2 linked regions of the Astyanax mexicanus genome follow. Each later gene encodes a partner of the first gene's protein in a complex. Links are inferred from orthologs where the notes say so. Each region holds a gene or a part of one and is shown in the gene's direction. Other genes may lie near its edges.

Region 1 (17,397 bases):
CCTGCTGGACGAAATTCTCATAGTTACTGTTTTCCTCCACCTTAAATAGAGCAGCAGTGACAGTGACTCCTGTACTGATTAATATAATGGGAGCGAATGTAACCGCTGCTGTATTTAAAGTGGACCGGATTAACATTACCTGCTATGGACAGTTTTATATATTCTGATAAAAAACACTGTAGTTTTAGTATTAGATAACGCTAGCTAACTAAAATTCTCTTAACGGGGTTTATTTGGTAACAAAAAGCTAGTTAAATAGTTAGCTAGGCGTTAAAATTGGGTAGCTAAAGTTAGTTAGGCTAGCTGCACACAGTAAAGTTTACTGGGTTAGGTAACCTGGCGTTAGCTATTAGCACTGCTGACTAACGGCTGTAACTTTAGAGTATCAGCAGTTAGTAAAATATATTAGGAGTTGATTGGTGGTTAAAAGTACGTAAAACTATTGTATTACTGTGTAACTATATAATATAACACTATATAGTTAGAATGTCATATCATATTAAGACAACTCAAGACGTTTTACAACTGATGTATGTCACAAAGCAGCTGTCTATCTGTCTGACATACACAGCTCCTAAAGTATCACAGTAAAAAAATAAGACATTCCCTTGATAAATGTTGCTTCCTCAATTTAACAATATGTCTCCTCAATGTAATGAATCATTCTTTCAAATTAAGAAATTATTTCTCAATTTAATATTTTTTTCCCGATAAACAAGTACTTACCTTTGTTGAATAGCACGCCTTCACTCTTCCACAGCTTTCTGAGAGCCAGTATTTTTGCTTTTTGGCCAGCACCGTACAACAGTGGTTTTAATAAGCTTCTTGTGCACTCTTAAAGTTATTAATGCCTCGATTTAAATGCCAGGGCTCTACAGATTCTACCGATAAGGTGTGGAGCTACTTTGAGCCTCAATAACGGTGAAAAGCAATTTATTGGGGCAAAAATGGGCCCCGATCAGCCGTTGTACCGAGTGCTGTGTAAAAAGCACAACATTACTGTATCTCAGAAAGCTGTGGGAGAGCAGAGGTGGGCTATTCAAAACAGGTACTTTTTATCTTATTTTACTAAACCCAAACACATTGCTACCTATCATTTATTATTTTTATTATCAGTGGGTACTTAGATGTTTATTTGAATTTATTCATCATTTAATAGCACTGCTTATTAAAATTACAGGTTGGTAAAATGCCTCTGAACTAGTTATCAAGGTGGAATAATATTTAGAAATTGTTTCCTCAGTTCACTAATGTGTCCCCTCTAAGCTGAGGGAGTGACTGAAGTAAAGTGAAATTGAGGGTGCTAAATGTTTTAATTTTTTGCTAATATTTTTTTTAATTGAGGATTTTTTTAGTTTAACAAACAAGTGATACCTTAAACTGAAGGAATGATTTATTACATTAAGAATACGTATTGTTAAACTAAGGAAACAAAGTATTATATCAAGGGAATGTCTTACGTTTTACTGTGATAACTTTGGAGCTGTGTACCACGACAGACAGAAAGTTAGTTTATTGATCCATTAAGTGCTTAAACGTTTATTAACAATGCTATTTAATATCTAAAGAAAATAATAGTTCTAGAGGTTTTGTGCAATATGCAATATTTTTCCCTTTCTGTTTCAAGGATACATTTTCAACTTTGCCAGCAGTGCAACCAAGAAGATATCTGAGTCTGTTGCAGAGACGGCAAACAGTATAAAGAAAAGTGTAGAGGAGGGCAAAATAGATGGCATTATTGACAAGGTAATTCTCACACATATTCCTTCTCTAATTTCTATACATAAACAACAATATATTAATGTGAATTTAGCAAAGCTCTGAGTGTTTCAGTTAAAAAGCTGAGTCTGTATTACTGGTTAATACGTTTTTATAAGTAGTCACATATATATGCAGTCACATATAATCACACGTGTGCTCGAGAAGATGCTGTTTTGCTTAACAATGTATTGGAATAATTTTAATAATGTCATATTACGCTTTTTCAGTGATACCACATATCATCCCTTCAAAGGAGACTAGTTAAAATAGTAACTTTTCTATCACTTATTTTAATAATGATTTCAATGTTAAATGGATATGAAGTGCTTTATTATTTTAACTTACATGCCCAGTTTTATCTGTCTTTCCTCAGACCATTCTAGGAGATTTTCAGAAAGAGCAGGAAAAGTTTGTGCAAGAGAAGAATGCTAAAAAATCAGGTGAGTATAATCAGACACAATGTGAAATATAAAATTAGATTGCATTTGGAATAGACATCTATTGTCCAATATCACTGTGCTGAATATTTTTGGATGTAATACTTTTTTTTTTCCTGTAGACACAGCTGTGCCTCCCTGGGTGGGATACAGTGAGGAGGAGACTATCCAGCAACAGATACTTGCTCTATCAGCTGTAAGATTTATTGTTCCTGTTTGAAAAAAACAACAGCATTCATCTTAAAAATATTCAGTATGAAATAATTTTTTAATACTTGCTTTTTTCCAGGACAAAAGAAACTTCCTTCGTGACCCTCCAGCCGGCGTGCAGTTCCAGTTTGATGTTGATCAAATGTATCCCATTGCCCTGGTCATGCTGCAGGAAGACGAGCTGCTTAACAGGATGCGTTTTGACTTGGTGCCCAAACAGTGAGTAAAGGACAGCAGGCACTTTCATCTGTTCTGCACCTTCTGTTCTGAGAAACAGCTGAAGAAGGGAAACTTTGTTTATATCTGATGTGATGCACCACTGTTATGAAGACGTCAATACTTTGAGTGTTATTTGCACCCCCTTGTGGAGAATCTAAAGTTAAAATGTGTTGAAAATGAAAATCAATGTAGTTGTTCACTTAATGTTATATAATTAAGTACTGGTTAATTTTATACTGATTAATATATTAAAACAGTAGTAAAGTATGTAAATATTACATGTAAAACATTTTATTTATTATAATAATATATAGGCTTTACAAAAGAATTGGTAAATATTTGGTAAAAATGTGTGATTTACAGTATTTTAACAGAACTGTTTATTTAAAGCTATGCTTTTAAGATTAATTTTCATAGAGTGAACAAATGTCAAATACATTGTGAACACAGAATCTTAAAAAAAACTAAGTATGTGGGTTTTAAGAAGCTTTTTTTGCGTAAGTACGGTTGTATGGGTGATTAGGGCACAATATTGTGTCATCAAGCATATATACATACAGAAATGTGCTAGTAATATCTTAGACATCCATGTGAATGAATAAGCTTTCTGAGTAGTGTTATAAAACTCTTAATATTAACATAAAAACAAAATGTTTATACAAAAGTTTTGGTTTTATATCTCTGTGATCCCTGAAACATCCTTAAAGCTCTGCTCATGGAGTCTAGTATTATTATATTTACCATCCCTCTGGTTTTGCAAATCAGAGCTTAATGATGACAAATCAGGCAGAATTGAGCACATCCACTGGAGCACTGGCTGGGGAGATGTTCCAAGAGAAATCTGGAATCAGGCTTTGTTCTCCAGACTCGCTCACAATATCTCAACTACTTTCTTTAGAATGATACTTCTTGTTGCATTTTAATGTATTTATGTTAAACTGCATCTGTTTAAATGTGCACAGATTTGTATTTCTCAAGTGTTTCTGTGTCTGTGTGCTTTAGGGTGAAGGAGGAAGTGTTCTGGAGGAACTATTTCTACCGTGTGTCTCTCATAAAGCAGTCTGCTCAGCTCACAGCGCTGGCAGCACAGCAGCAGGCTGCTGAAAGAAGAGAGGAAGAGAAGAACGGAGCTTCTCCACAGACCGAGAGCATACCAGGTTTCACCATCATCTCACTAGAGTGCACTACAGTGATTAGTGGTTCTTAATCCTGACTTGTAATAGAGAGATTTGTTGTCATTACTAATGCTACTGTAAGCTCAACACGCTGCTAACTGGACTTTAGATGCAGGCATGTTCAACAGAACTGCGTAATGCTCGGTAACCTGAGTCATATTAGTGTAATATTACTTTACTGCCTCAGTCCACATCCTTTTTTGCTTTCAGTAACAGTTCTGCATCTCCCTGCTTGTCCAGAAATGCATGTGGTCTTTTGCTTTCATTTTATTGTAAAGTTTCAGCATTTTTCTTCTTTAACAGAAACCATCAGACCAAAAACACCACCTACAACCATCAATGCGAAACCCAAGTCCAATGAGGTACAAAAGAACCCCAACTGTTCACATTGTCAATTGGTCAGTAAATAAATAAAAACAACGACAGTGAATGTTTCTTATATGAATTCTCCTGCAGCACGAGGAGGAGGAGATCTCTACCAGCCCTGGCGTTTCTGAGTTTGTGAGTGACGCATTTGATTCATGTAATATCAATCAAGAAGACCTGCGGAAGGAGATGGAGCAGCTGGTTCTGGACAAGAAAGAGGATGTGTCCCCTCAGGATGGTGAGTTTTTTGCTAATTTGTAGATGTAGGTGCATTTGTAGATGTAGGTGCATATGTAGGTGCCTTGCCCATGAACTAAAGCCACACAAAGCTAACCACTAACAAATCTTCCACAGATTTGTTGGTGGTTAGTGTATGGACAATAGGGGTGTACCACCTCATATTATACTCAGTATATTGTGATACAGTAATATGGTGATTTGAAAAAAAACAACAATATTGTAATTTTAGTCATACGGCTATTTTTGGAATAATTGTTGCAGTTTATACGCATGCACTAAATGTTCTGTGCTTAGGTATTGTGGTAGATTTTTTTTGCTACATTGTATTCATGTTATATTTTGTTATATTATTATTATTTTATTTAAAATGATCAGAGTTCTGGTTGTTTATTGTTTGCAAAACATGTGTTTACATTTACCATATATCTGCTCAATATTTATAACTATTACATTTATTTTGTTGCTGTTGTATATTCTTGAAATTAATCTTATTAATTAATCATACTGCTCACCCCTGATGAACAGATCAGATAAAAGTTCACCTTTTTACCACAAATGCTCATTGCTATGTTTGAGTGGAAAACTCCACAACACCATCAAAACCTTCTCTTAACTGTGAAGCATGGTGAAGAGAGTGTTCTGGTTTGGGGCTACTTTGCTGCACAGGCCCTGGACACCTTGTGATGATTGCGGGAACAATACATTTAGAAGTGTATCCAAATATTTTACAGGAAAATGTACAGGCAGCGTTAGATAAAAGTCACTTACTTGTTCTCGTTTTTGTTTTTTTTTTCTTAATCAGAAGATGCATCAGAGTGGGAGAGGGAGCTGCAGAGGGAATTGCAGGAGTACGAGGTTGTGGCAGACACGGAAAACCGTGATGACAACTGGGACCGTGAGATTGAAGAGATGTTGCAGGCTGATAGCTAAACTCTAGATCTCTTAGATCGTGTTCTGGTGTGGACACAACTCTGCATTGGAGGAGAAGAGCGAGAAGATAATGGACCAGAAAAGAATCAGCCAAGAGTGGGTTTTAGAAGCCACTATGTTAAGACAGGCTTAGTATCATGCTATATGATTTCTTTATAAAGTGTCTTTATATAATATGTTAAAATGAATTAAGAGGAAAGGTCTTTTAGGAATCTCCCCCCAGGTTTAAGGGTAGTTGGATCACTTTTTTTGGCTTCTTGTCAAAAGGCATAGCGTCTACTGTAAGCTTTGCTGATGAAAAATGGTTAGTTTTGTCTTTTTATAGTGGGGAAGGATCTGTCCATGTGTTTTAAACTTATCTGCAACTGATTTTAGTGTCAGAATAAAGAGATCAGAAAGCCTTGAGTTTAAACACAGCCAATTAGGTCCCATATGACCTCTCTGAGAATGCATAGAAAGCATTTAGTCCATTTTTATTTGTTTTTGATTTATTTACACCATTTGCTGCCCTTTCCATTGTGTGAATATTTCATAATAAATGGACCAATAGAAATGTTGCAAAAAAAGTTGAAATCAATTCGACTTTTTGCAAGTTTTGAACTTTTTCCCTTTTCTCCTTTTGAGATTCAGTTTCAGGGAAGACATAAGTCATGCTTTTGGTGACTGGTGAAGTTTAGGCTAGGTATTTGTGTGCATACCACCCTGGTAACTCCTGAAGTGTTTTACATAGAAGGACTTTTTTGTCAAATAAGGGGTATTTAGGCAGATTAGGTGCAGATTTTTATTGGTGTAAGATATAAAATATAATGCGCTTAAAAAAAACAGCACACTTGGATAACTGCACATTTGGCTTGAATGAAAACCATCTACACTGGCCCATTGCACATAAAATTGGACACCCCATAGTTTGACAAATTTAAAAGTAACGTCAACCTTACCCAATTTTAAAAGAGCAAATCAGCAGTCCTGTCACACAGTCCTTAAGGATAAACTTCAATTTGGAGTTTGAGCATAGGTTAGCTCTAGACCATTAAAGGTTTATTGTGGCCTCTTTGTCCAATACAGAAAAGAATTTATATACAAAAGTATAGTAATAATAATTTATCATTTTGTTGTTTTTTTCTGTGTTGATTTCTCTTTATCTGCTGCATAATCACACTTTTGTGTCTGTCATTAAAAGTTGTGTCTTTAAACTGTGTGTCTGTGGAGACTGTCCCTTTGTATTTTCTATGAAGCACATTCAATTCATGTACAATATACTCAAGGCCTAAACTTTCTAAAAATGACCAACACTGTACAATTGATGGCAGATTGCTCTAGATTTTACTGGGACTGTTCTATGTTTTTTCCTGTTAAGTATATCTTATTAAAGAGATTTTCCTAATGAGCAATAATATTTTTTGAATATAAAAGCATGTTGTCATTGCCACAGAAAGAAAAATCTCAATATTGTCTTAGTATTGTTGATTCTGGCAGTTGCTCTTTACATTGATTTAGAATAGTATGATGAATGAACCAATAACCTGCTAGTCCTAAAGGTTTACATTATTTTGCCAATTTAATTTTTCTAAGATTTTTAAAACAGTTTAAGCATTTCAGTTATTCGTTTAGCTATTTTCATAGCTACTGTATGTCTAAATATTCCCTGTCTACCCTGTCATCTTGGGATAACTTGGCCTAGTTCAGTGAAGTAACACCTCTACACTTATTTAATGTAAAGCTTAAGCTGTCCACCCTGTTGGCCTAAAATATCAGGGTAATTAAAATAATATTTATCTCAAACAGAACAAGATCACTATGAACAGTGCAATGTGTGCAACTGTAGGTCAACCTTATTTTTATTAAAGGCCATTATTTTAATCAGAAATAATGACAGTAAAGTTGTGATTAATAGTCATTTTTTACATGATTGACCCTATTACTGTAAATATAGTTTCACTGTGATTATCTAACATTGACTTTTATTTTAGATTTTAATATTCATTGTTAAATGTTTTAATGTTCAGTAGGAAACTGAAGATATGACACTGATACTTTTGACAGCCCGTATAACACTAAATTTGCTGTTCCCTCAAAATAACACACTGTCATAAATGTCTAAAAAGTGAGTACACCACTAAGTAGAAAAGGCCAAATTGTGCCCAAAGTGTCAATATTTTGTGTGGCACCATTATTTTTCAGTTGGAGTTTATTAGAGATTCACAGGTTGCTACTTGAATCCTCTTCCACTCCTCCATGGTAAATAGTGCTGGTAAATGTTAAAGACTGTTAAAGAGCGCAAAGCTCTTCCACCTTCTTTTTGAGGATGCCCCACAGATGCTCAGTTGGGTTAAGTTCAAGAGACATACTTGGCCAATCACTTTTATGTTGAGCTTCCTCAGCAAAGCAATTGGTATTTTGGTTTGGGGCCTTTATCATATTTGGAGTTTCCAGCTTCTGCTCTGCTTCAGAATGTCACAGGAAATTCTCCCCAGTGCTGCCAGCACTCACATGGCCCCAGACAATGATGTTATCACCACCATATTTGACAGTAGATAAGGGATAGTTTTCTTGGTAGTCCTGACCAGGATGCCACAACACATTCTGGACACCATCTGAGCCAAACAAGTTGTTGAGGCAGGACATGGTTTCAGTAATCCATGTTCTTTGACTGCGTGTTTTCCTGTGCATCATCTTCAGAAGAGGATCCCTTTTAGGACTTTTGCTGTATGGTCTGAGCACTGCAGGCTGACCTCCCATTTCTTCAAGCTCTGCAGCAATGCTGACAGCACTCTATTTTTTTAAAGCCAGACTATGTATATTACCATTGGCTAGGAACCGGGGGGGTGGGGGGGGATGGGGGGGACATATTAGAAACAGGTGGTTGCCCCCCCCAAAAATGATATCGTTTCGCTCAGATCAGCTGTACTAATGAGGAGACAGACCGGACCAATCACGGAGCCAGTTCATGTATTAATTCCCGCCTCTCAGTAAAAACAGCCAATCAGCTTGCTGGTTTTGCGACGCGGGGAGGAGAGGCAGTGTGCTGGTGGTGGAAGCCCCGCCCCCTCGCTGTGAGATTTAGCAGCGGGATCGGGCTGCAGCAGCAGCTGATTTAAAAACAGATCTGGATATACGGAGATTTAAAAAAAAAAAAAAAAAAAAGGTAACGATAGGCTAACCACGTCAACAGTGATGATATGTTTCTGATAGCTGGTTAAAAATACACGTCTCTGAATCAGCAAAAAGTTTAATCCCACTGTGATTAATAAACTGCAGCTGTGTTAGTGAGTTAGCTTAACTTTGGAATTAGTTATATTGGGAGTCAAGGTTAAAGAAAAAAACTATATATGTAATGTTCAACTTGCCCTGTACCTGATCAGCTAATCGCTATTTCATTTTGTCAAACTGTGTTTATTAATTTAGGATTACAGGACTTACTGTGAGCTATAATGAACGAAAATTCATTTAGTTAACTAGTTTGCTAGAAGCCAGATGTAGTGGATAGCCAGAATTTAGTACAGTACTTTATGTTTTAGTTTAAAGCAGTTTCTTAACCCTGATCACTGCCCCAAAATTGTGTTTTCCACCTGATCCAGCTGATCGGCTAATAAACAGTCATTTACCGAGTTTACCTGTTAAAATCTCTTAGCCCCCTATGGAGCCTAAATTAATCATGTATATCCAGCAGTGTATTAAACACATCATACCACCACTTACCCTATTAAATGCCTTTAAAGCAGAGGGAGCTCTAGAATATGGAGAACAGTGTTAATATGCAGTATAACATGTAAGAACAGGGTTGAGAAACACTGATCTAACCTGACTTCTGTTAATTTGTAGCTCAAAGTGACCACATGTCTATGAAACGCAAAGTTACATTCTTTTACATAAAAGGACACCATCTTAAGAAGAGCTCTCAGTAGAAAATAATAAAGCGCAGGAGAAAACGTAAAGATATGACAGAATTGACATGCCAATAAATAATAATAATAATAATAATAATAATAATAACCAAATAACATGTTTAGGTTGTAAAGTCACATTTTAATAATAATTTACTTTTAATTAAAAGTAATTTCCACAAATGTTGTTCTAGGAAACTACAGGGTGGGCTTGGGTTCATATTGGCAAATGTGTCCCCCCAATTTCAAACCCGCTCCTATGCCCTTGTATATTACACATGAACACGTGAACTCAAGTTCTTTGAATGACTCTGAGAAGGCCTGTTCTGAATGGAACCCATCCTGGAAAGCTGCTGTATGACCTTGGCCATCATGCTGTTTTAGGGTGTTAGCAATCTTCTGATAGATCAGACCAGCTTTGTAGAGAGAAACATTTCAGTTCTTGCCACAATTTCTTGCCATGAAGTGCCATGTTGAATACCAAGTGGCAAATAACAGAGAATTGTACACAAAATACCAAATTTAACACTAACGAGTGGCATAATTTGGCCTTTTTCACTAAAGGGCTATCTATACTTTCTGTTATCAGCACAGTTTAGACATAAATGGCCATGTGTTCAGTTATTTTGGAGGCACAGCAAATTCACACATGAAGCTGTTCACTGATTTATTTATTTTTTTTTAGTTGTGTCCTATGAAAAGATATAATAAAATATTTACAAAAATAGGGGTGTACTATATATTTAGAATACTGTAATACTGTGCCTTCTGATGTCCTTGGGCACAATTTGGCCATTTTTTTACATAGGGGTGTACTCACTTTTGTTGCCAGCAGTTTAGACAATAATGGCAATGTGTTGAGTTATTTTGAGGGAACAGCAAATTTACACTGTTATACAAGCTGTACACTGACTATTTTACACTTTACAAGTATGTAATATAGTTATGAGACCCCAGAAGGCACAGTTTTGTGCTGAAGGCTGTGTAGTGTGTGTTAGGGGCAGATCAATTTAAAATATTGATAGTATTGATACTAATGTTGGTATTTATTAATACTTGTGTGATGAGATCGATTAGGTTTCAGTTCATCTTCTGTACAACTCCAGGCATGTACAGATTAACCGACTGGCCATAAAACACTGCTCTTCTCTCATTTCACTCATACTGAACTAGCCCATTTTATGCCTTAGCAAGCAAACATTAACTATAGACGTAAACCTAACTAGCCATTATTATTCCCTTCCTCCATCCCCATGCTTACATTATAATATTATAAGGCTGTTTTAAACTTTACAAAATTATTCATTAACTGCACAGTCATTAAACATGTCTGACTACCCGACTACTAGGTACACTTAGCCCCAGTAGGGAGCTCTAGTTTAGCCGTGAGATAATGTAGGTTAGTACGTGCAGTAGTGAGAGAATCTATGGCGTTAGCTAATTAACTATAATCTCTAGTTTGCTTCTTAAGTTTCGGTTTATCTTCAGTACAACTCCAGGCATCTACAGAGTGACCGACTGACTGTAAAACACGACTTCTCTCTCACTTCACTCATGCTCAATTAGCCTCTCCCCTTTTCTAAAACTAAATAAATTATTTCACTGGAACTGAAAAATAGATATGCTACCTACAAAAAGATATAGTTATGCCTCAAAACTGAAATATGAATATGGCTGAATACATATTTTATGTTAACTGTCAAGAGAACATTGGGAAAAATCTGTTTGTTAATTGCAAATGCAGATTACCACCCCAAAAGGGGCATTTTAAGTTTTCTATAAACTGTGTTTTATTACCATCAAAAACATAATTATTTATAAAATAAAACAAAATAATTAAATAATAATAAAAAAAAATCATTCAAATTTGCATATTGATGATGCATTCACTTAATAAATTGCTCTCCCCTACACAAAAAAGATGGTAAGAGTAAAAAGTATTCATATCAGTATCGGCAGTACTGGCCCTTTATTTCCTTGGTATTGGATCGATGGAAATTTTTGCAGTATCGCACAGCCCTGCGTGTGTGTGCTGGTGCGGTGTGAGGGGTCAGGTCTGATGGAACTGTACTGCTGTAGTGGAGCTGTGTACTGAGTCCATGGAGCGCGATGGCGCCTTTCCCGGACGAGGTGGACGTGTTCACTGGGCCACACTGGCGAATGAAGCAGCTGGTCGGCCTTTACTGCGACAAGGTATACTGGGAATCCGACCGCTACCTGCTTTACTGGTTTTCATTAACAATTCATATTGTTTAATGGGTTTAATAACGTTAACGGTCGTTACGGTGCTTAGTTACAGGCTCTCTGTTTATCTAGCCTAGCTTAGCTAACCAAACACTAGAGCTCAGCGTGTTTATTGTGGCTGTAAATCGCTAGTTCACCATTATTATCACTTAACATGTAAAGACATTAGTTAGAAACAGAAAATAACACTAGTGTCGTCTTCAACACTGTGATAGAGACGGAATTAGCTTGACGTAGCCTAGCTAGCTAAAGCTGAACCAGGGGTGTGTTGGTGCAAAAGAATGAAAGCCTTGGAAATAGCTAAGGTTAGCTAGCTAACGTAGCTAAGGTAAACCCAAATGTATTTTTAATTAACGGACAATAGCACGTTACTACACAGTTTTATGAACACGTTGCTCTCCAAAATCTCTCTAAAATAAGAAACAAGCTCTTTCAAATATTCTGAAAAAGTGGACTAAGCTACACTAGCCTAACATGCTAACCCAGCTACACCATTAGCTAGCCAACGTTAACTGTAGACGTAAAGCTTAAGATAGCTAACCTAACTAGCCATGTTTCCTTTGCTCGGTTCCTGTGCTTACATCATAATCTTATAAGGCTGTTCTAAACTTTACAAAAGTATTAGACTAATATTCATTAACTGCGCAGTCATTAAACATGTCTGACTCCCTGACTAACTTACTAGCTACAATTAGCCCCAGTAGGTAGCTGTAGTTTAGCTGCCAGCTAACGTAGGTTAGTACGTGCATTACGTGCTGCTGTGGTGAGAGGATCCCTGGTGTTAGCTAACTAACTTACCATAATCTTTAGTTTACTGCTTAACCCACATTATTATCTAACTTACGTTAGGTGCACGCAGTTTGAGATTATTGACTGTTTTCCCAGTTTATGTTATCATACATTTAATATAAATGGTGCTTTGCTGTGTGTTTATAGTGTCAAATTGGTTAAAATTTGTTTGTTATAAAACTGCTGTTCAAAAAATCATTGCTGCACCATTGAAGTTTACAAAAGAGCACCTGGATGTTTTAGAGAACTAACTGACTGGTTAAATATACTGTGGATAGATAAAACCAAAATTAAGTTGTTTGGAAAGAACACACAACGCTATGTGTGGAGAAAAAAGGCACAGCACACCATCAAAACCTCATCCAAACTATGGTCTATGGTGGAAATTCAAGTACTCACAAAGGTTTCACATACTTTTCTTGCAACTGTGTAATGTTAATTATAGTTCATAATTCATTAGGAGTATTTTTAGTTTTCCTTATTAAAAGAAACATGCTGTCTCATGGATAAATAGCTTATAGTTTAATTTGTCTTTTTAAGTAAGTAAACATTATGGGAAATATAGTTTGTTTAGGGATTGTATTGATTGTTTGGTTAGTCAGTAATTGTATTATCTTGTCAGGCCTACTACTTGTTTTGTTTTTTGGGGAGTCGTTAAACAGAGTTTAACTAGTTAAAAGTGATCATTACAGCAACAAAAAGATGCAGGCTGCACATGCTTACATAAGCAGCCTAAACTGCTCCCAATCTTCCCTGACTGCTGCTTAGTCTCAGCTGGCTAGACATTTATGTGTAGACATTTATTGATTATTAAAGGTGTTGAGGACAAGTCTGTGGAGTATAGCTACTTTTTAAACACTCACATGGAAAGAGGATTGGCAGAAGTGAAGACCAGCATCATAGCAAGTATTATTTAGCTTTATTTATAAATTGATTATTTATATTATATAGCTTATCTTTAATTATAAAAATGTATTTCAAAGTTATTTGCCGTATCACCTAATACCCAACATATGCATATTAGATATTGACACCTTTTTCCTTCTTTCTCTCATTTCACTACATACAGCTGTCAAAGACAAACTTTTCCAACAACAATGACTTCCGCGCCTTCCTGCAGACGCTCTGCGCCACCTTCAAGGTGTTCAAGATCCATGAGCAGATTGAGAATGAATACATAATCGATCTGCTGCAGCAGCGCAGCCGTACCATCTACAACGTGCACTCTGACAACAAGCTGTCCGAGATGCTGTTGCTTTTTGAAAAAGGCCTTCGCAATGTCAAGGTGCGTGTCAATATCTGTGCACAGACATAACATGCTTTACATGTAAGTGTTTGTAGATATCATCTTGTCCACCTTTTTCTTCAAAGCAGAGATATAATTGTTATTATCATTATTATTATTGAGTTTTGACCTCCTTGCTGAAGAAAGGCTTTAGACTTTAATTAACTTTAACGTTAATTTGTTTTACCGCTCTACTGGAGTTGTTTATTTGATATTTGACTTTAGGCTTATTTGTGGCTGCTCAGTTCGGCAATGATTTTCTGTGGAAATCGTTGGGCTTATCAATATATAATTAATATCAGTATATACAAAACTGCCTTCCACAGGATGATATCTTAATATTGCAGTTGCTACACAGGTTTCCATCTCAGTTGTTTCATTTCTAGAAACAACTTATGTGTTGTTTGTGTGGAAACATTTTGGTTAGTTTTTCCCTCACTGAATCTCTGTGTGTGGGAAGACGGTGACACTGTTGAGTGTCGTCTGTTAATAGTATCTGTCCTCGCCCATTGCAGATATGTCACCACTATAATAATGGGTTTTTTAACTGGTGTTTAAGGATATTTATGCCAGTGTTTTAATAAGAAGTTGTTATATTGCTGAGGCGCTGTTCGCATCAGGCACAGTCAAGAATCAGCCTTATTGAAACTATAGACAAAAGTCTGAATAGTTGCTAGATTTTTAGATTGCAATGCTTTTCAGAAGAAAGGTAAAGGTTACCTAGAACCATAAACGATTAAAAATTTCGAATTAATCCATAAATCTATTTAGGTACCCATAGAAAATAGTGTGTAATGTTTGTGTAATTTCACATTTCAAGCATCTCTGCATATAATTGTTTTTTGAGATTGTCCTGTGATAATAAATGCCATGCAGATGGCTTGTTTCTGTGGATTTTGCTGTAGGCGTAAAGTAATGGTAGCGCCTCAAATAGCATTTCATGCATTTTCATTCAGGGATAGGTCTGGCAACGCAACTGGCCATGGTGTAAAATGAGCATTGTCTTGTTGGAATAGTGCACCAGCACCAGAGTGTGCGTTTATACAAAATAGGGCCACTGGTTGCAGGCCCTCATTAATGGGCTTTAATTAAGGTAATAGGGCATTATAAAAAATTGCACCATCTACTAAAATACCAAGTCTGGTATCTGGATGTGTGATGCTTGACAACAAACCACTGATCATGGTGTTCCACACATGGATTCGCTGGTCATCTCCACCAAGACAAAAGCAGAACAGTCTTTAATGACCAATCCTGCTTTTATTTAAAAAAAAAAAATATTATCATATGTGAAGATTATCATGCATTCCTGGCTGCAATGCTGTTTCAGCAAATCTGGTAATGAAACTCTGACGCTGCTGCAGGTTATAGATGCTGTTCTACATGCGCACACTCCAGAACACAGAAACAGTTAAATGTGTCCAGCTTGTCTTTCACTACCCATGTTTGCCAATCAAGTAATTTTCCACTCTGCTAAGCCAAAGGAAATTAGGACATTCTGTTCTCCCGCCATTAACAGGATGGAATCAAGTAAACTGATGTAAATAAATCACGTCTGTTTCTCAGTCAGTTTATTTACACTCTTCGCTCTGCTAAGATTAGTGCTAGACGGACACATCCGGCTTATCAAAACGATCTTGTGGCGTAAATATTTGGGAGTAGGGACCAGTGTGCAAAGCATGGAACTGTGCCTTTCTGTTTGCAGATCCCATAACGGCAGCCATGTTAGCTTACAGTCTGTTGCACTGCATAGTGTTTTCAGCCAGTGATGGCATTTAGAACTGATCTCAGTTCTGCTGCTTCAGTACAGGCAACTTCAAAGTATTCTATTCCCAGATCAGGTTTTGCACTCCCACTCTTTATCCAGGCTGTTGTTGTAGCTGCTGCCCACACTGCGCTGGGTGGAGGCTGGCGCTTTGCTGTGCTGGGATGACTCAGGGTGTTGTGACAGTGTCTGTGATGGGCAGCCGGCAGCTGATATAAATATGTGGCATTTTGTTTAAAAACAGTTCTCCTCTTGTATTTTGCTGTAGTGTTCAATTATCTTATTATATTTAGTAAAGCAAAATATTGTACTGTGTATAAAGTTGTTTGCAAAAGCATGCATTCATGGTTGGCCTGTCTGACAAGAAAATTATGTGATGTTATGTTTAACACATTCATTTCAGGGTTTTTTTCTTTACAGTGTTTTCTCTCTATGTGAAATGCTTTACCTGCATTTAAATATAACCTGTGGACTGTAATATACAGTGGTAATTTTCAGAATATTTATTTATAAATCATTGGTTGTTTGGATCAGCAATTTCAGTTAAATAGATCATATGTCAGACGAACACAGAGCAGTGAAATAAAGTTTATAGGATTTACAAAAAGTGTGCAACAATTCAATAAACTAAATTAGGCAGGTGCATAAATTTTTACATTAAATTGTTTGGTAAGCTCATTGACCCCTAACCCAGGGGTTCTCAACCTTTTCTACCTTACAACCCACCTGTTTACAACTTGAAAGCATCAAGGCCCCCCTAATAATAATAATAGTAACTAATAAATATTCTAGAAACTCAGCTCAGTTTCTCAAAACTCTAAAAACAAACTGAAAATTATTAACTGCTTTGTTGAAATTCCACAAATCTGATTCCTTTCACCAAAACAACACATACAGCTATTTATATGCTTAGCTCTTGCAGAGCATCAAATAAACACTGACAAGATAAATTCAAAGCACTATTATCAGAAGTATTTGGTTATGCTTTTGACTTCATAAGGACACTGTACATATTCAAATGCATACAAGTCCATGGAAATATGTTGGCTTTCTTTGAGTTCTTTATACAGAGTAAAGCCCCCCCTAATAATAATACTAATAATAATAATAAAATATCTGAAACAGTGATTTAGGCTTTCCAATTACAGTACATGAACTTCTTACCGGAAACATACTCTAATATTGTGCTTCCTTTGTATTTTTACCTCGAAGTATACACATAAGAGTAGCACGGTTTGAGAGGGTAGCACAATTCGACAGAACACCTGATCACTTGGCTCGCCATGTCGGCGTATTCGTGTGGGCGTATCCGTGATGCTTTTTAATTCAACAGGTGTAGTCAATCAAAAGTTTAAGATTTTTAAATCAACCTCACTGTGTTCTATAGTTCTATAAATCCGTTTTCAGCTTATCCTCTGTGGTTGAAAGGCAGCTGTTTTGTGTGTGAGAGGCTCGTATCACTAGGGCTGGGGCGGTATTGATTTTTTATAACCGCGGTAAAAAACTAACGCATCACCGCGATATTGCGGTTAACCGCGAGAAAAAGACGAATTAATCCACAGCAAAATTTTCCACTGACCCCCGGCCCTGAAAAAAATATATTTCTCACCCCTTTCCTCGGGCCGTTCGGGCTCAAGGCTCAAGAAGTCTGTGATAGGCGTCTGTTTTTTTTTTTATTCACACTCTTCTTATTTCTCATTAAATATCTACTAGATACAGATTATATCTGTACAGTATAGGGTTGTCACGATACCAAAATTTTTACTTCGATACCGATACCAACTGTAGTATCACGATTCTCGATACCAAAACGATACTTGGAAGAAAAAAAAACAATAAAAATATCTGAACATAAAATGTTTATTTTTGACTGAACTGGATTGAACACTGAACAATCGGTGCAAACGTTTTTATTCTAAAATGAAACATTTGTACAAAAAAACAAGTTTCGTTATTATAACCTTAACTATAACATAATTATCTAAACACTTCCTAAAAACTAAAACTAAAACCAGAGGTAATGGTAGCCTGACTATGTGAACCTGACGGGCGGGCAGAAGTTAAGTTCTGAATAAGGAAAATAAAGAGACAG
Region 2 (16,438 bases), on another chromosome or scaffold:
CTAAGATCTACATGTAGGTATAAAATTCCTAATAAATAAGATGATGTGACTATCTTATAAATAAGATGTTTAAAAAAACAAAAACTGATTATAAATAGCTCACTTTGACTAGTGTATTAAATTATCTAGAACCGCTTTGCTGTACTGCTTTAAGAATTTTAGCTGTTGCCTTAAGGACAATCTTTTGAATAGGAATAGGAATAAGAATAGGAAACCATTTTCTTTTACTTTCTACTAAATATGGAATCAAAAGCATCAACTGGATCACATACTAGAATGTGGAACTGTCCTTAGATGGGGAATACATTTAAATACTTGTTTTTAGCCTCAAACTAGGGGTACTTTGAAATTCACCCGATGCCCCTGTTCATAAGACATTTTCTAAGGATTCTCCCAGTGAAAATAAAGAAAAACATTCTCTGTTAGGGACATGAGAACATTCTAGACAACGGGTTATAGATCAAAAATCTCCAGAGGGTAGATCTTCAGAACCAGGAATGAGTACCCCTACCCTAAACTGTGTTCAAATCTGCAGTTTCACCTTCCTCTACGCTCGGTCAGTTTTATCTCAAGATAATGAGATTTAAATCTGTCTTTGATATAAATATGTTTTGGAAGATCAACAGTGTGTATTTGCCTCTCGCATCAAGCAGCAAAAAAGTTGTAACATTTATTAAAATTAGACTTATATGATATTGCAAGTCCTGCAATGTGACTACTGCACATGCTCATATTGCAGTGAAAGATGTTGCATGCTTACTGATCTGTGTTTACTTCTACCTTTACTGGAATAATTTATTTTTAGTTACGTTGGTGGATCCACACTTACCGTATTATATTTAGTAGTATGTATCAGTATTTATATTATTCAGTATTTTGATTTTACGTAATCGGACAGAATACTGCTTGAGTGTACTGAGTGCACGACTGTAATGCTTTCAAAAAGCCTTCTCAAAAAAGCTCTTATAAACTGCAGCTGTGCAGCTTTAGAATGCATCTTAGACATTCCGGAAATGCCGTGCAAATAAACAGATACCATTAATGGGACTATGCATTAACTTAATTGTTATACCAGTGGGCCAGTGTGTTACAGTCATATAAACAAAAATGTGTTCTAAATGTACTTTACGTTTGTGAGTAGAATGACAATGACGTTGTGATACCTGTACTCTGGCTCTCACTACATCCATAGGGTTTGTAATGGTGGAGGCAGTGGCTGCAGCCATGGGCCCAGCCACAGCCTGCAGAAGCAGATGAGGGCAGTTAGAGGGAGCCAGCCTGGATAGCTGCTCTGTTTTAGAGACAGACAGGACATAATTCATCAGACATTATACAAACACAACACTATATGATATAATAAATAATTTATCTGGCAGTTGTTTACACTGGTCCCAAATGTCATAATTATTGGACCAACAGAAATGCTCCAAAATTACAGCAACAATGTATATAAGTAATAGGAGTTAAGAAGTGCACAGAAGTCTTTTTTAATACAATAACAGAAACACAGTAACCTACACCCTGGGCATTGGGCCATTTAATAACTGGTTATGATAACTGGTTTAAACTTAACACATAAGCCGTTCGGAACCTAAACATCAATTTGACAATGAAATAAAAACAGGCCAAACACAGTAAGATGGCTTTACAAATCTTATTTTTTGTCTCCTTGTTCTCAGTATGCTGCCATGACAAGCGTATTTACACTGAAAATAAATGAACACACCCAACATGTGTCTAGATATGGTAGGCCTAGAAATAGTATTTCAAGGCTACAGTACACTTTGAGAATTTTCAGCTCCTCATTTACTCTGAAGTCCTTCTACCACAATCCCAACACTGAAATATGGGAATAACAGGCAGCATCATGTTGTGGGGTTCTTGACATCTTGTCAATACTGCAGGACTAATGAATTGTGCAAAAAACAGGAAGATACTATAAGACACTCTGCTTTTGTCAGTTGAAAACAAAATATTGGGAGATACTTGTTGTTTCAGCAGCACCAAACAGAAAACCTTCTACAAAGTCTACATAGTTAAAGTCCAGATCTGACATTAACTCGATGTAAGTGGCACTATTAAAAACTGTCATGCACAAGCATTTTCAAACCAACCTGTACCACCTGGAGCTGATTTGAAATGAAGTACAACAGGTAAAAATTGCTTCTAAACAGTGAGCAAAACTAATTCATATGTAAGCAAACAGAACTTTTGTGTCAAGAGTCCAAAATAGGGTTACTGTTTTTTTTTTGGTTTTTTTTAAACATTCTATACATTTGGTCTAAAAACTTTCATCACCGTGTGGAATGCACTTTTCTATACTTTGTACACAGATATGCGACAGATATTTTTGTGTTTTCAATTTGACAAAATGCATTTTTAAGTGTTATTATGATATCATGATGTCTTATGCAGCATCATGATTGTAGAGGATAACTATTGAATTCCTTTATTTCTGTTTATAAATAAGGGTTAATGTTCAGTTACAGAAGACGCGGTAAACAAAAGTACAATCTATCATGCTTATATGCAAAGGGCAGTCAGATTTTGGCACAACATTTATTTTTATGCCATTAAAAAAATGACAGCCTGCTTTAACTTCTTGTTTTGGGTGCAAAAGTCTGCAAATAAACTGGACCGTGGAAGTAAGACTCCGATTTTGTTCAGACCGATGTTGTGCCTTTGGTTTGAACTGTGGTTAAAGGCACCTCTCATACCTGCTCTTGTGGCTAAGACCAAACTCTAAAAGGTCTTGACCAAACAAGACAGGTGTAAAAGGTGCCTTTAACCATGGTTTAAACCAAAAGTATGTGTTTTCATAAACAAAAAATGTTGGGTTAAAAAACAATATGTTTCAATGAATGTGAGAACTTTAACGCAGTTGAATGTACTTGATCCTGGAGCTTCAAGATATCTATCTATTCGGGATCAATAAAGTATCTATCAATCCATCGATCCATCTTATAACTACACTTAAAACAAGCTTGAGATATCTAGTATATGGTCTGGCCATTCTCTGTGAACATCCTGCTCTGAAGAAAAAGTTACATACTTAAGAGAACATTGTTCAGTGACAAGACTGTGCATTAGGAAGGACATTCACCAGCATATAATTTACCTGCATAAAAGTGATAAAAAGGCCACCACAAGGCACTGTTGGGGATGTAGGTGAGGAGTGAGGCCACATATCCACGATAAAACCCCTGAAAACCATCTGCTGCAAATATCTGCACCATAATGTCCTTGGTCTGTCCGAAAGTCACTTTATGTTTAGATGTGGCCACCACCATCTTGGACTTGAGCTTAAAGCGTGTGAGATGTTCTCCCTGGCCTTGCATCATGAGCTGCTGGGAGACAACGTCAATGGGAACAGTGATGCTTTGGGCCACCAGTGAAGCTGAGCCCCCAGCAACCAGTGACTTAAGAGTGTTGCTGGAGGAATACTGAGACACGTACTTTCTCACCAGCTCATATGTGGTGATGTAGGCTTGCCCTGAGATCAGTGTGAAGGTGTTGACCATAAAGCCCCGATACAGTCCCTGCATCCCTTCTGCTTTCAGGATCTTACAAAAGGCATCAAAAGTGCCGTTGTAGAGCGACTTTCCCTTCTGAATCTGAAGTCGAGTTCGGATTAGGGTGAAGGGGTAAACAGTAGCACGAGTTGTCAAGGTCATGAATACACCAAGGGAGTAAAACTTCCTTTTGTCCAGGTCCTCCCATTCTATAATCCGGATATTCCGTTTCTGCTGCATTATTCCAGCTGATATTATTCTTCACCTGACAGGCCTTGCACCACCACACCTGTCCATTAATCTGCAGACATATAGACAATAAAGAGGATAAGGTCAACAGAAAAAACTAACTGTAAAGCTCAAGTATAGAGTACCAGTCAAAAGTTGGGACACATTTTCTGAATCATTTTTTTCTTTTTTTCCCTACATTCTAAATGAACACTGAAGTCATCCAGGCTATAAAGGAATACATGAGAAATCATGTAGTAACCTAAACTGTTAAACAAACCAATTTACTTTTATCTGGGGTGCTGTTAACTTGTGGTTTCTGAAGCTGGTAAATCTGATGAACTTATTCTGTGCAACAGAGATAACTCTTGGTCTTCTTTTCTCTGTGAAGTCTCAATGACAGCCAGTTTCTTCAAAGCATTTTGGTCCTTGCGACTGCACATGAGGACACTTTTAAAACTGTTAAGTCTTTCAGATTGACTGACCCTTATTTCTTAGAGTATTTTTCTGTACTTAGTTGAGTATTTTTTGCCATAATATATATTAGAACTTTACTCAAATATGGCTATTTACTAGGGGTGTGACGAGATATCATGCCACGAGATCTCGCGAGATTAAATTTGACGATATTTCTCGTCAAGCTTAAACCTGTCTCGCGAGAGAAAAAAAAAGTTTAATGTGGACTTTTTAAGAGGGATCTGATTGACTGAACCCAGTAGCAGCGAGTGTGAGAGCAGCTCTCAGCAGAAGAGGAAAATGGGCGGACCGCGGTCCGGACCCAAACGTTGTCCAATGCGGACCCAAACCGATAAACTACTGAGAAGGATTTAATTGTGTTATTTCTATTCCTTATAGAATCAATGTGTGAGAGAAACCAGTCTGTTAAGTTTGCGGTATATGATTTTGTCCAAAGAAAAAAAAAAAAGTTTTCTTTAAAATTTTATTTTTAAATCTCGTCTCGTCTCGTTATCGTGAACCCAATATCGTGTCTCGTCTCGTCTCGTGGTATTAGTGTCTCGTCACTCCCCTACTATTTACTGTATACCAACTCTATCTCTTCACAACACAAACTTATGCTCTCAAACACATCAAGAGGCAAGAAATTCAAGTAATTAACTCTTAACAAGTTCAGCACAACTGTTAAATCAAAAAGGCCTTGCAGGTGACTGTACCTCATAAAGCAAATCCCAAGATTTTGTCATCTAAGCAAGGCATGCCTACTATGAAGAATCTAAAATATATAACATTCTGATTTTTTTAACACCTTTTTACTAGATAATTACATATTTTTCTTCATAGTGTAAATGAAATTATTATTAATCTACAACACATAACTTTTTTTAATAATTTTAAAAACACTGATTTTTAAGGCGTATCCAGTGTCCTGAAATTCCATTTACACAACACATTAGAAATTAGGCTGGGACTTGTGAACAGGATAAGAAAGAAGGGTTGAATCAAACAGATGTTGAAGGCTTGGAGTTTTGTTTAGCTAGTATGTTATTATAGCACACCCAGCAGTGTCAAGAGACCAAAGGTCTTCACATGATCAGTGCAAAGGTGAGGCAAGCCCACCACACTGAAATTATTAGCGCGAGATGCGTTTTGTGAATTGTTCAAAAGGGCAAATACCTTTACCCACCTGATACCTTCACAACCTTATACAACTCAAAGCTTAAAAAACACAGACTTAAAGAACTTAATAATGGTTAAGGTAACATATTTTACATAATAAGGTTTAAACTGAAATATTTTCAAAAGGCACATTCAGACTATGTGTGAACTCTTGTGATAATTAAAAATATTTAGTGTTAAATGTGTTTGTTTTTTTCTGGAGGTGCTGAACAATAGTTGCTGCTTTTCCTCCACACTGTGCACCAGCTCATCCTAAATCAATCATCTCAATTTTAGGATTTAGGTCAGGGCATTGTGGAGGACAAACCTTTTTTTGTTTACTACGTAATTCCATATGTGCCCCTTAATTGTTTTCATGTCTTAATTGACAATGTAAAAATAAAATAAAGAAACAAAGAAAAACATTAAATGGTAAGGTTTGTTCAAACATCTGACTGGTATTATACTTCTTTTTAGGGATGCATCAAATATTTAACAAACCAAAGTTATGTAGCAAAAAATGGCCAAAAACACCAAAACAAAACAAAAAAACATTTTGTTGCTCTGTCAAATTAGTAATTTTCTATCGAAATTGTAAAAAAGGTTTTACATTCTTTTTTATGTTTAGGCCCAAAATGTACTGTTTTTGTTCATATAGCTTACTGTTTTGTAATATTAAGTTGGCTTGGAAAATCCAATTTACTGTTCTTCGTGATCTTATTCTTATTCCTTTATTTGTAAAAAAATTTATTCACCATCAACTCCCACAGCTTTCAACGTAAAACGAGAAATCTTGCAGAATCGAAGAACAGGATTAAGTTGCTTGTGCTTTTTTTTGGAGCAATATGTTGTGCATTTTTCGTACAGCCAACGCTTTTATGCTTGAATATTATCCCATAGGATTCCATTCAAAGTGTCCGCAAAAAAAGTTTGTCAAAAAATTACGTTTTAGTTTTAGCTAGAACCACAAAATTCTTAGAAACACTCAACCCATTTTCTGTGACATATTAGGTTTTTGGATACTAATCTAGAGACAAAATTATAAGCATTCCACCATTTATCCAAGTGTTTTTGAACACAGCTCCAATAGCCGAAATTTTTAGCACCATTTACTCCAACAGCAGTATTTTCAAGCCAACTTAAGATTTTCTTTATTTAGTTTTTATTTTACGCATTTTTTAATAAAACACGTAAAGCATTTTAGGTTAAACTGAACTGATAAACCTTATACTTATTTGTGTTCCCCAACAGCGTACTCTTCACTGTGGATGTTCTACACACCATTTCTGCTACTACCAGACCTCCACCCTCCAGGATTTCTCAGGCCCACCAGCTACAACCGACTCATGGAGCTGCAGCACTAACCGAACAACATCTGACCTTAATCAGTCTTAACAAAGCGCGTTTATTCGAGCTGACTGCGGCTCATCTTCCCCTTTACTCGCTTCCTATCCTCTGTAGTTAGCGTTGTGGTCAGCTTGCTACATGCAGACAGCTCCTCTTTGACCTCTCAACATCATGTCAATCTGAACTCACTCACCAGGTCAGCTCGACATGATCTCCTCCTCCCACTCGAGCCCTGATAACTAACACACGTCCGCGATTTTAAACACGGCAGCGAACCTCAGCATGTTAGACAGAGGGGTGAATTAATGTCTCTCACGGCCTTTAAACTGGACTGTCCGGCTCCATGATAAAGTCACGCTGTTCTGTGGAGGTTTCTACAGAGCCGGGTTATGGAGAGCCTACCCATTTCCTATTTCCCCCGTTAGATCAAAAATGACTAAAAACCGCCAGAGGGAGCCCGTGGGAGAGTCCTTAGTGAATGGGTAAATGGAGCTTAAGGGCTAAAAACTCAAAATAATCATACTGTCTAACTACTTGTCAAAAGTTTTCCTTTAGTTTTAGAATGTAGAATTACGTTTTAGTTGGAAAGCAAATGAAACCAGCCTGTATGTGCCCATTTGTCTACAGCAAAATGATTTTAAGCAGTAAAGACGCTAGCATTTGGTGCTACTGTGAGTTGACTGGTCGGTAAGCTAATGCTGGAGTTACGGTCAGAGCAGTTTTAAAAGGCTTTTATCTGAAGGTTAAGAGCTTTAAAATAATGTATGCGGTACTAAAACGTTTGACTTTGCTCTGTATTGAGAGAATGTGTACATTATCCTGTATAAAAATTATTAAACATTTACAAACTCTTATTTTGCTCACTCCATTTAAACCCATTCATTTTGGACTCGGGAGCGCCCCTGGTGGTATGACAAAGCCCGGGCTACAGGAATACATTATAATAAAGTTGGAGTTCTCCTCTCTAGAGTTTCTATCTAGAGGTTTCTATCAGCGCCACATCCGGCGCTGTTGTTACGCCACTGCATTGGGCAGGTGGGCGTGGCTTTGACCTCACTCCTGTCGCTAATTGGCTGGATGTGGGGGAGGCGTTACCACACTCCTCTCGAGCAGAGTCGTGTTAATCTCAGAAGTCATCATGGCGCTCACTTCCTCACAGCAAGGTAAGAGCCCTCTCCTCCAGCCTGCGATAATAACTCTTTACCCCGGGGTTTATAGCCTGTCAGCGAGGAGTGTGAGTAGCTCTTCACACAGCGGCGGTGTCGGTTAGGAGAGGAGCTATTTAAAATCCCCCTCTCATTAGCCGACAGGCTAACTAGCTAGCATTGACATAACGGGCTGTTAAAGCTAAAGCTGCCGGTGTTCTGTCGAATTTTCCTACCCATCGATACATGCTTCCCAAAGTTACTGCGCATGCGCCGACCTACACTATTTAATTATTTCTCGTTTTTTATGTATAATTAATCTGGTTTAGGGGGGTTTATGTGTATTAAACAACCTGGACGAACTGTCATTGCACAAACGTGTAAAGGGAAACAAAAAATTACACTTATTATCATAAATAAATACAAAAGCAGTTTGTAATGAGCTATATTTACTATAACTTTGCCATGGTACAATGAATTATGCAATCCAAATCTAATAACGTACATCTACTGGAATATCACTGGGTACATGCCCTAAAATAGTGCTTCTTTTGTATTTTTACAGTTAAATATACATTGGGGCAGCACGGTTCGACAAGGTAGGAGAATTCGACAGAACACCGGTTCGGCTCTGCTGACATTAAAGAGCAGCGACGCAGGACAGCGGGCGTCGTTCCCTTAACTACTAACTTTAGCCGTAATGTGTGGTCCGCAGCGTTAGCTAACTAGCGTTAGGGTAATTAACTAAAGTTAGGTTTCTTAAGAACATGAAACGTTAGCTAACTAGTTACAAATGTCAGCCAAATGTCAAACGTCTTCAGAAGTACGTTAAGGTGTTAGGTTAGCTACGCTAGCTAGCTAACCCAGCTAGAGGTTTGTTCTCAAGTATTGTCTGCCACTGTCCGTAAAGCTCCTGTGTACATATACAGTCGCTGGAGCTGCAACCAATAGCTATTTTAGTCGTCGGATAATGGGACGTTTTCCCCCCGTATAATCGATTAGAGTCTATAGTTTCCAGTGGGCGCAGCTTCTGTTCCAATAGTTACATGTTTTAACTAAGTTACCTCGTCTGCTCAACCTGTGAATGGCAGACTGTTGTCCTGTTTCTGCCTTAACATAAAACTAGATAACTAGATCCCATTACAAATAATAAAGCGATTTATGACTAGTGGTGTCGATTAAAAAATATAACAAATTAAGCACAGTAGAAATATGTGATTAATCACATCTGTGTAACCTGTGAGTGAATTCATTGCTGCTCTCCCACTGCATTTCTGTCCACAGCACTGTAGTGCATTGCAATTACAAATGACCAATAAGTCGACAATTTGTTGTAATTAACATTGTCGATTATGTAGACTAATAAGTGCAGGCATGATAGGAAATACTTAGTAGTCTGTAGATTTGGATGATGATGTGGCTTAAAAGTTACAGGGGGCTTTAATCTTTAAATAGTTGAAGTGTGTTTCATTATGCCTCAGTAGGGGTCTTCTAATCTAGTAAGGAAGAGCATTTGGCTCCAGAGATAAGGAGAGTGTTCCCTCCCTGTCCACCCAACCCACTGCTGGCCTGTAGCTACTGTTGCCGGTTTCCTTTACTGAATTATTGTCTGCAAAGATCAGAAGACCTCTTAGAGTGTGTCACGGAGTGTAATGTCTCTAAATTTACTGAGTTTGTTTGGTTCAAGAGTTACATTAATGTAAATAAATTGGCATACGGTGGTATGTTGACTGCACGTTATTTAAGTTTAGGTTTTACAGTTACAGTCACATTGTCACTAGAGACCGACCGATATGGGTTTTTCTAAGGCCGATGCCGATACCGATCATTAGTGGTCAGAGTCAGCCGATGGCCGATGTGACCTGCCGATTTTTAGTGACGATATGCTATCGTATTATACTTATTTGGCATGCTTAAAATCATACTAGTAAGAGGAGGCACAACAGTTGTAAACTTCACACAATTTATTGAAAATAAGGTTAGCATTTTATAGTGACTTTAATGTTACTATATCACTATATCATACCTGTCAAGTCTCCCGTTTTGGCCGGGAAACTACCGTATTTTACTCCTCTTTCCCGCTGTCCTCCCGTATTAGTATTTTCCCGTAAATTTCCCGTATTATATTAAAATAAAAAATATATATATTATTGAGGAGACAGGGAGCTGACTGCTCTGTGTCTCTTAACCAATCGTGCAGCCGGTTCAAGGAGAAAGTCCCGCCTTTCAGGAGAAACAGCCAATCAGCTTGCAAAGGAGGGTCAGTGTGGGGAAGCCACAGGCAGCTAGTCGGAGCAGCTGATGTTAAAACATATCTGGATATACAGCGATTTTTCTAAAAGAAAGGGAACGGTAGGCTAATCATGTAAACTGTGATGAGATTTTTCTGATAGCTGCTTAAAAATACTCGTCTCTGAAATAAAACACACAGATTAAACCTTAAAAAAAAAAAATACAGCTTGAACTAGAAATGTTAAAAATTAACTAAACTGATCAGGGGTGGAGTGATCAAAAGATTCAGTTTGCAGAATTTGTGCACCCTTTGTTCAATTTTGAATCCATTAAATAAATAAAAAATATATTATAAAAAAAGAGTGCATTTATGCCAAAAAGACATGAAATCTTAACTTTTAAAAAAATATTTGGAAAAGTGTTTTTAATTTGGCTGTATTAAAAGAATGACATATGTAGGAATGTCTGCAACATTTCAGATTCTGATCATCTAATTGTGTGTAAGTGGTTCACATGTCGTTATTTTAGATTTTTTTTGTAAACCTGTCTTAAAATGTACGGGATACTGAACCTACGTTGGGCTGGTGGGACAACTTTAAGCGGACAGAGGAAAATATCCCTTATTTTTTAATCTAAAATTTGACAGGTATGCACTATATGTTAATAAAAAAAATATTACTTTTATTTAGATTGTATTATCCATAACATTTTATTTTATTCATTATATAACATATGTTCTATATACACTATATATTCATGTTTATAGTAGAAATATTATGTTGGCTATTATATAAAATTTACTGTAGGGGCCTACTAATTAACAAATGTATGACTTGTTGCAGTCTGTTAGTCTATTAATTATTCATTTTAATATGTTTAACAGAGTGCAAGAAGACTTCCATAATGTGACAACTTTAGATAGTTACTCCAAAACGGCAAAGCTCATTTCTTCTTCAACTCCATGCAGTTGAAAACGAATGGACATGGGAGGACAATGTTATAAAATGTTCACATTAGGGCTGCAGCTATTATTTTACAAAAATGGGTGACGTTTAAATTAAGAATAAAATTATAAATAATGCAAAAACAGACAGGTGCTGTAATTTAAATATAGCTTTATCTGTTTTTTTTTTTCTTCTTCAAATGAGCTCCTTAGCCAGAGAAACGCGTCTCATCAGCTGTACTGGAGGTTCGGTGCGTGAGCGGAAAATGAGTTGAGAAAGCTGAAGAGCGCGGACTTTATAGGTTCAGGATAAAATGAGCTTTTATCAGAAAAGTCTGGAGGGGGTTCTAAAGTAGAACCCGACAAAACAGAAAATTCTGCTCATCGTTTCATTTAATATCTAACAGCGCAAACCGCTTTAAACGGGTGAGTTTTACAGCAGAACAGCAGGAGGCGGCATGATTTAATGTCTGTTTGTAGTGAAGGAAAAAGAGATGTTTTATTTTAACTCCATTATTTTAGAAACTATTTGTTTTATTAATTCGTTTACAATAAAGCTTATTTATATATAAGGAGAAGTACAGTCCTCTAATAATCCTGACTAACCAGTAATTATTATTTCAGCGCAGCTGATGCTGCGAATATCCTTAAACAGTTTTAGTCCTGCCCTTTTTCATTTCGTCTAAAAATAATTTAAATACTGAAAATATCAAGTGTTAATTTGATTTTATTTACTTAGATTTTCGTTTCTGAAGAAGAGACGTCAGTTATTTTATACTAGAGCTTATAGATAGGGCTTGCCTTGCATAGTCAGGGCGCATTCCAAATGCACTCCTGCCATCAACGCTAAGCATAGTTTCGTTTGGAGAGAAATGCTACAACACCGATGCAGTTGAAATTCTATTCTTTTTCAGTAAATGAAGCAACATCACAGATTACTAATCATGAGAGAAAATATAGACTTTGGGACACTGGATTGTAAAAATGGATGCCTTACCCGTTGAAAGTCTTGCTCACTCTTGAAACCTTGCGCTGCGTTCCAAGTAGCTGCCCGCAGATGTGCCGGATTAAAATCGGCTTGGCCAAATAAGAAAATCGGCCGATGCCGATTGATAAAAAAATAACAAAAATCGGCCGATTAAATCGGCTGGCCGATCGATCGGTCGGCCTCTAATTGTCACTGTCTGATATCTGCCACACCTCTTTTGGTCATTTGACAATGGGGTTAACTTCATAGCTTGAAAAAGTGTAACACTATCTGAAACACAAAAATGTTTTTTCATTTTTCTGTGTCTGTGTTTAAATGAGGTCCAGAACACTGCCCTTACACTTTCTCTGTTTGATACTTACGCTAAGCTATACATTCATAGCTATACTGTCACATACTGACTACTTCCACACTATCCGCATATCTACATCTGTGCATATCTGTTCTGTGCAATATTTGTCTATAGTGTAAGTTATCATGTTTATTGTAATTAAGTGTATTGTAAATAGTGTTTATACTGTAAGTTATCTGTATGTCCTATTTTTATATATTTTATATTATTTTATTACTCTCTTGTAAATATTATTCTTTGCGCATTGGTGGGAATCTGCACCCAAGTTTTTCACTCACATGTACACCTGTACTCTGTGACGTGACAATAAAATCTTGAATTGAATACATAGATGTTCGTGAGAACCACTCAGATTGTTTTGGTTTTGAAAACTACTGTCAACACTGTAATGACTGCCTCTGTTTTGTTAATGATGGTGACTGGTGTTTGTAGAAATTACACTAAATTTCACTCCAGGCCCCTACACAGCTCAAGAGATTTGGGAGAATTATTACTGATCTTTTAAACATTAGTATGTATTAGGGGTGTCACGATTCTCTAAATCCTCGATTCGATTTCATTTTCGATTTGAGGGTCACGATTCGATTCGATTCTCGATTTTCTTGTTTTTTTTTCTTGTTATTATTTTATGCCTCATAAAATTTAAATAATATATTTATTATTATTATTATTATTATTATTATTATTATTATAAATATTATAAATATTATTATTATTATTTATTAAGATATATATGGTAATGCCATCTAGTGACTTTTTTTGGTAGCAACAGTGTGCACTATTAAAACAAGCAGTTTATCAGAGCTGTGTGTGGATGGCTGGTGAAACTGCTCATTACATGAAGCTGCAGTTCTTCATCCAACCACTAGTCGGAGCTGCAGCAGCACAAGCCCCGCTCTCTAAACTCAGTCACTACTTCAGTACAGCCCAGCCACGGGCTACAGAGCTCAGCCAGTCCGTTTTTACCGTTTCTGTAAACAAATAAAGGTTTTAACCCCACTAACCGGATAATACAGCTCACTACAGTTCATCTTTCAGCCCAAGCAGCTAACAGCAGCAGGTTAGAACAGCCGACACGGAGGCACTGCTGGGATTACATTATAAACAGGTCAGTTAGCGCGCTGCTAACCTCAGGATGTTTATAACTACGGAGTTTAGTGGACACACCACGGCCGCCAGGTAAGTCTTTTAAAGGCTACTGAAGACTATTAAAGGCTATTAGAGTGTAACCCCTGGCTCCCAGGGGTTACAAGAGGTTATTGAAAGCATTATTGGGGGGCAGAAATCAGTACAGGCTGGTTAGATAAGTGATGTGGGTATTGTCTTATAAATATTTACACATAACTTATATCTCTCCTGAAAAGCTTTTATTTTAGTCAGAAACACGCTTGTGTTTACTTTATCTGAGAGAAAGATGTTTTTTTAATTCAATGGAAAGCAACAGGTGTAGTCAATTATAAGTTTAAGATTTTTAATCCACCTCACTGTGATCTATAGTCAGTGTTCTCAAGTCACACTGACACACGCATTTCAGCGAGTTCACACGCTCTCACCTGCGCGCACCCACCCCTCCGTTAGATACAGATACAAAACCTGCGCGCACCCCCCCGCCCCCCCTCCCCCGTTGGACAGATAAAAAACAGTGATCACACTCCCGCCGACTGCGCTCATGCAGTGGCTATCTCTATTTAAATGAATAGGATGCGCTGTGTTGGTGCCGCGCCATTTGCGTAGCGCGCGCGGGAGGGATCGTCGATCCTCTTTTTGACTTCGATACTCGAGATCGTGACCTCATTTCGATTCGATTTCGATAAAATATCGAGATCGTGACACCCCTAGTATGTATGTACTAGTATGTTGAAAGGTTATTTTTTTTAGTACATCAGTAAGGAAATAGTAGCATTTGCAATACTTAAGGACTGGTCTCTCTTTCCATAAACATTATTCAGAATGTTTTAAGACATTGTATTTAAAATGTGAAAACTAAAATTTACAGAACAATGAATATTATTTTGTATATTTTAGGCGGGGCCAAATGCCACATTAATGGCACATAGATGCCAGGCAAACTTGGTACAAATCTTGTAGCAAAGGCTCAAATGTTTGATATTGGGATTCCCTTAATTAAGACCACATCTTAGCAAACACTGGGAATCTAAGCTGACTGTACACAAACAGAAGTGCTTTTACAATTGTTTTTTGTTTAAGTAGATTTCAATACTGCGGAAATGGATATCCTAACAACATTTTAATAATAACAGCGATAATCTCTGTGAGAGATTATGTGATTCCCTGTACAAAACTTAAAGGAGCTTAAAGTGGAAAAAACTGAAAGTTGCTGCTTTGTCTTACACTAAAAACAGTGGTTATTGGTGTAAGCTAGCTTTGCTACTCATTAATTGGGCTGAAAGGTGCACTCTGGATAATACCGGTCTCCTGTTAGTGGGGTTAAAATCTTTATCTTTCCACCATGAGGCATGTTAGTCCTACACATATTAACTTCATGGTTCAGTGGGTATCTAAATTTTCTCAGTTGCTCATGTAGAAGATGCTGTTTCAGTAAGTCTCTTTGTGATTTCTTTTTTCTCTTAATATATTAAACCAAATACCTTTTAGTTGACTGTTCTTTTTGATTAGTAGCACCCTCCAAATCAAAGAGTTATTTATTTACCCATTTATTTTTTTAAAACTGTTGCAATATTGTAAAGGTGGTGTTACTAGATGTAATATGGCTTTGTGTTATTTTTGTGCAGAGCACCCATTTGCCCATTTGATTGACACACTACAAACTGAGAAAAATGAAGCCCAGAAATATTTCAATCCTCAGAAACTTGGGGATCCCAAATATGGTAAGTGCCGTGAGATAAGCAGATGATATCTTTACCACAGGTATTTGTAAAGCTTTCTGTTGACCCAGAACCCAACTGATATGCTGACCAGAAAGCAGCTAGTCAGTAGGCAGTGAGTTATACCTGTCAGTAAGCCTTATTGCTGAGTAAATTTACAACACCTTTTTTGTTTTTTTTAGAACTGTGTAATTTGTTTTGTTAATGCTTACATAATGCAAATGAGCTTATTTGCATGGAAACATGACAAAGGCTGCATATCACAATATGCACTTGGTGTTCTATTTCTTTTATGCTAAGATCTGTGTTAGCATTGGGGTAAATACTGTGTAATTGCAGCATCATTTACCAAGAAGTTAAAATAATGCAACATAGAAATGAGGATTTAAGTGTAAAATGTGTGAAAGATAATGTGCCACACACTGCTGTGCAGGTAGATAGGAGAAAATGTAATATTTATAGTGGTTTAACTTCCTGTTTGTCTGTTAATGTTTGATTAACATGATGTAGAGCACACAATCTCAATTGTGGAATTAAGGCTTAAAACTCATTTTAAATACAAAGACACAAATGTGAGAAGTCTGCAATACATTACATTTTGAAGAAAAAATGGAATTTGGTGGGAAATATAAAACAGGAGAATGATTAATCCTGAGTGATGTCCCTAACGTAACTACATTGTGATAAAGTCTACATTTTGTTACACTTAAAGTACATTAAATATTGTCCAGGTTATTTCCATGCAATGGTTTGGGCACTACTGGTGGGTAAAACAGACATTTAGTTTCAGTTCACTTAATAGAGTAAACCTGTATTAAATGTGCAGAAGTGTGTTCTTTGTAGAGGACATGCACTTATTTATGCCATTTGACCAGGAGCAAATGTTTACACAAGTGTACATGTTCAAATAAAAAGAATCGCTGATGAGTGATCCCTACATATTATTTTACCCTCCTTCTTTCAGAGAGACTGCCGCTTTCTATTCGTGTGCTGCTAGAGTCTGCCATCCGGAAGTGTGATGGCTTTTATGTGAAGCAGGAAGATGTGGACAATATTCTGAACTGGGAAGAACGACAGAATGAGGCAGAAATCCCGTTCTTCCCTGCACGAGTCCTGCTGCAGGACTTCACGTGAGTTTTTAAATTGTATTGATTACTTGTCTGTGTTAAAAGTAGTTCTGTAGTTATGTGTTTGAATCTGTGTGTGTAATCCTACTCACAGGGGCATTCCA

Evidence for each region.
Region 2: the proteins of fbxl5 (region 1) and ireb2 are in contact, whole or in part, in a cryo-EM structure (PDB 6VCD), measured with the Homo sapiens proteins. The link is inferred for Astyanax mexicanus from reciprocal best matches to the Homo sapiens genes FBXL5 and IREB2. Residues at the interface, in NP_036293.1 of Homo sapiens: Asp656, Glu657, Tyr661, Cys662, Asp663, Asn664, Ile665, His669, Ala670, Asp671, Thr672, Ala673, Ser674, Gly675, Cys676, Gln677, Asn678, Leu679, Gln680, Cys687, Arg688, Ser689, Gly690, Glu691; in NP_004127.2 of Homo sapiens: Asp89, Phe90, Ser129, Asn217, Val220, Glu221, Arg224, Arg228, Ala758, Gly759, Ser760, Arg763, Asn764, Thr777, Pro778, Arg779, Asn782, Ser783, Tyr784, Gly785, Ala786, Arg788.

Annotation. Positions count from the first base shown.
Region 1 is NC_064420.1:11,515,457-11,532,853, forward strand, and holds the start of fbxl5 (F-box/LRR-repeat protein 5), read left to right. Parts: upstream 1-11,263; 5' UTR 11,264-11,331; coding exon 11,332-11,415; intron 11,416-13,324; coding exon 13,325-13,540; intron 13,541-17,397. Other genes in the region: syap1 (synapse-associated protein 1), read left to right, coding at 1,628-1,746, 2,135-2,201, 2,321-2,394, 2,488-2,627, 3,630-3,784, 4,106-4,164, 4,259-4,406, 5,211-5,338.
Region 2 is NC_064409.1:42,468,560-42,484,997, reverse strand, and holds the start of ireb2 (iron-responsive element-binding protein 2), read left to right. Parts: upstream 1-7,756; 5' UTR 7,757-7,839; coding exon 7,840-7,864; intron 7,865-15,114; coding exon 15,115-15,210; intron 15,211-16,171; coding exon 16,172-16,337; intron 16,338-16,428; coding exon 16,429-16,438. Other genes in the region: slc25a44a (solute carrier family 25 member 44a), read right to left, coding at 1,164-1,291, 3,119-3,752. UniProt on the Homo sapiens protein: RNA-binding protein that binds to iron-responsive elements (IRES), which are stem-loop structures found in the 5'-UTR of ferritin, and delta aminolevulinic acid synthase mRNAs, and in the 3'-UTR of transferrin receptor mRNA.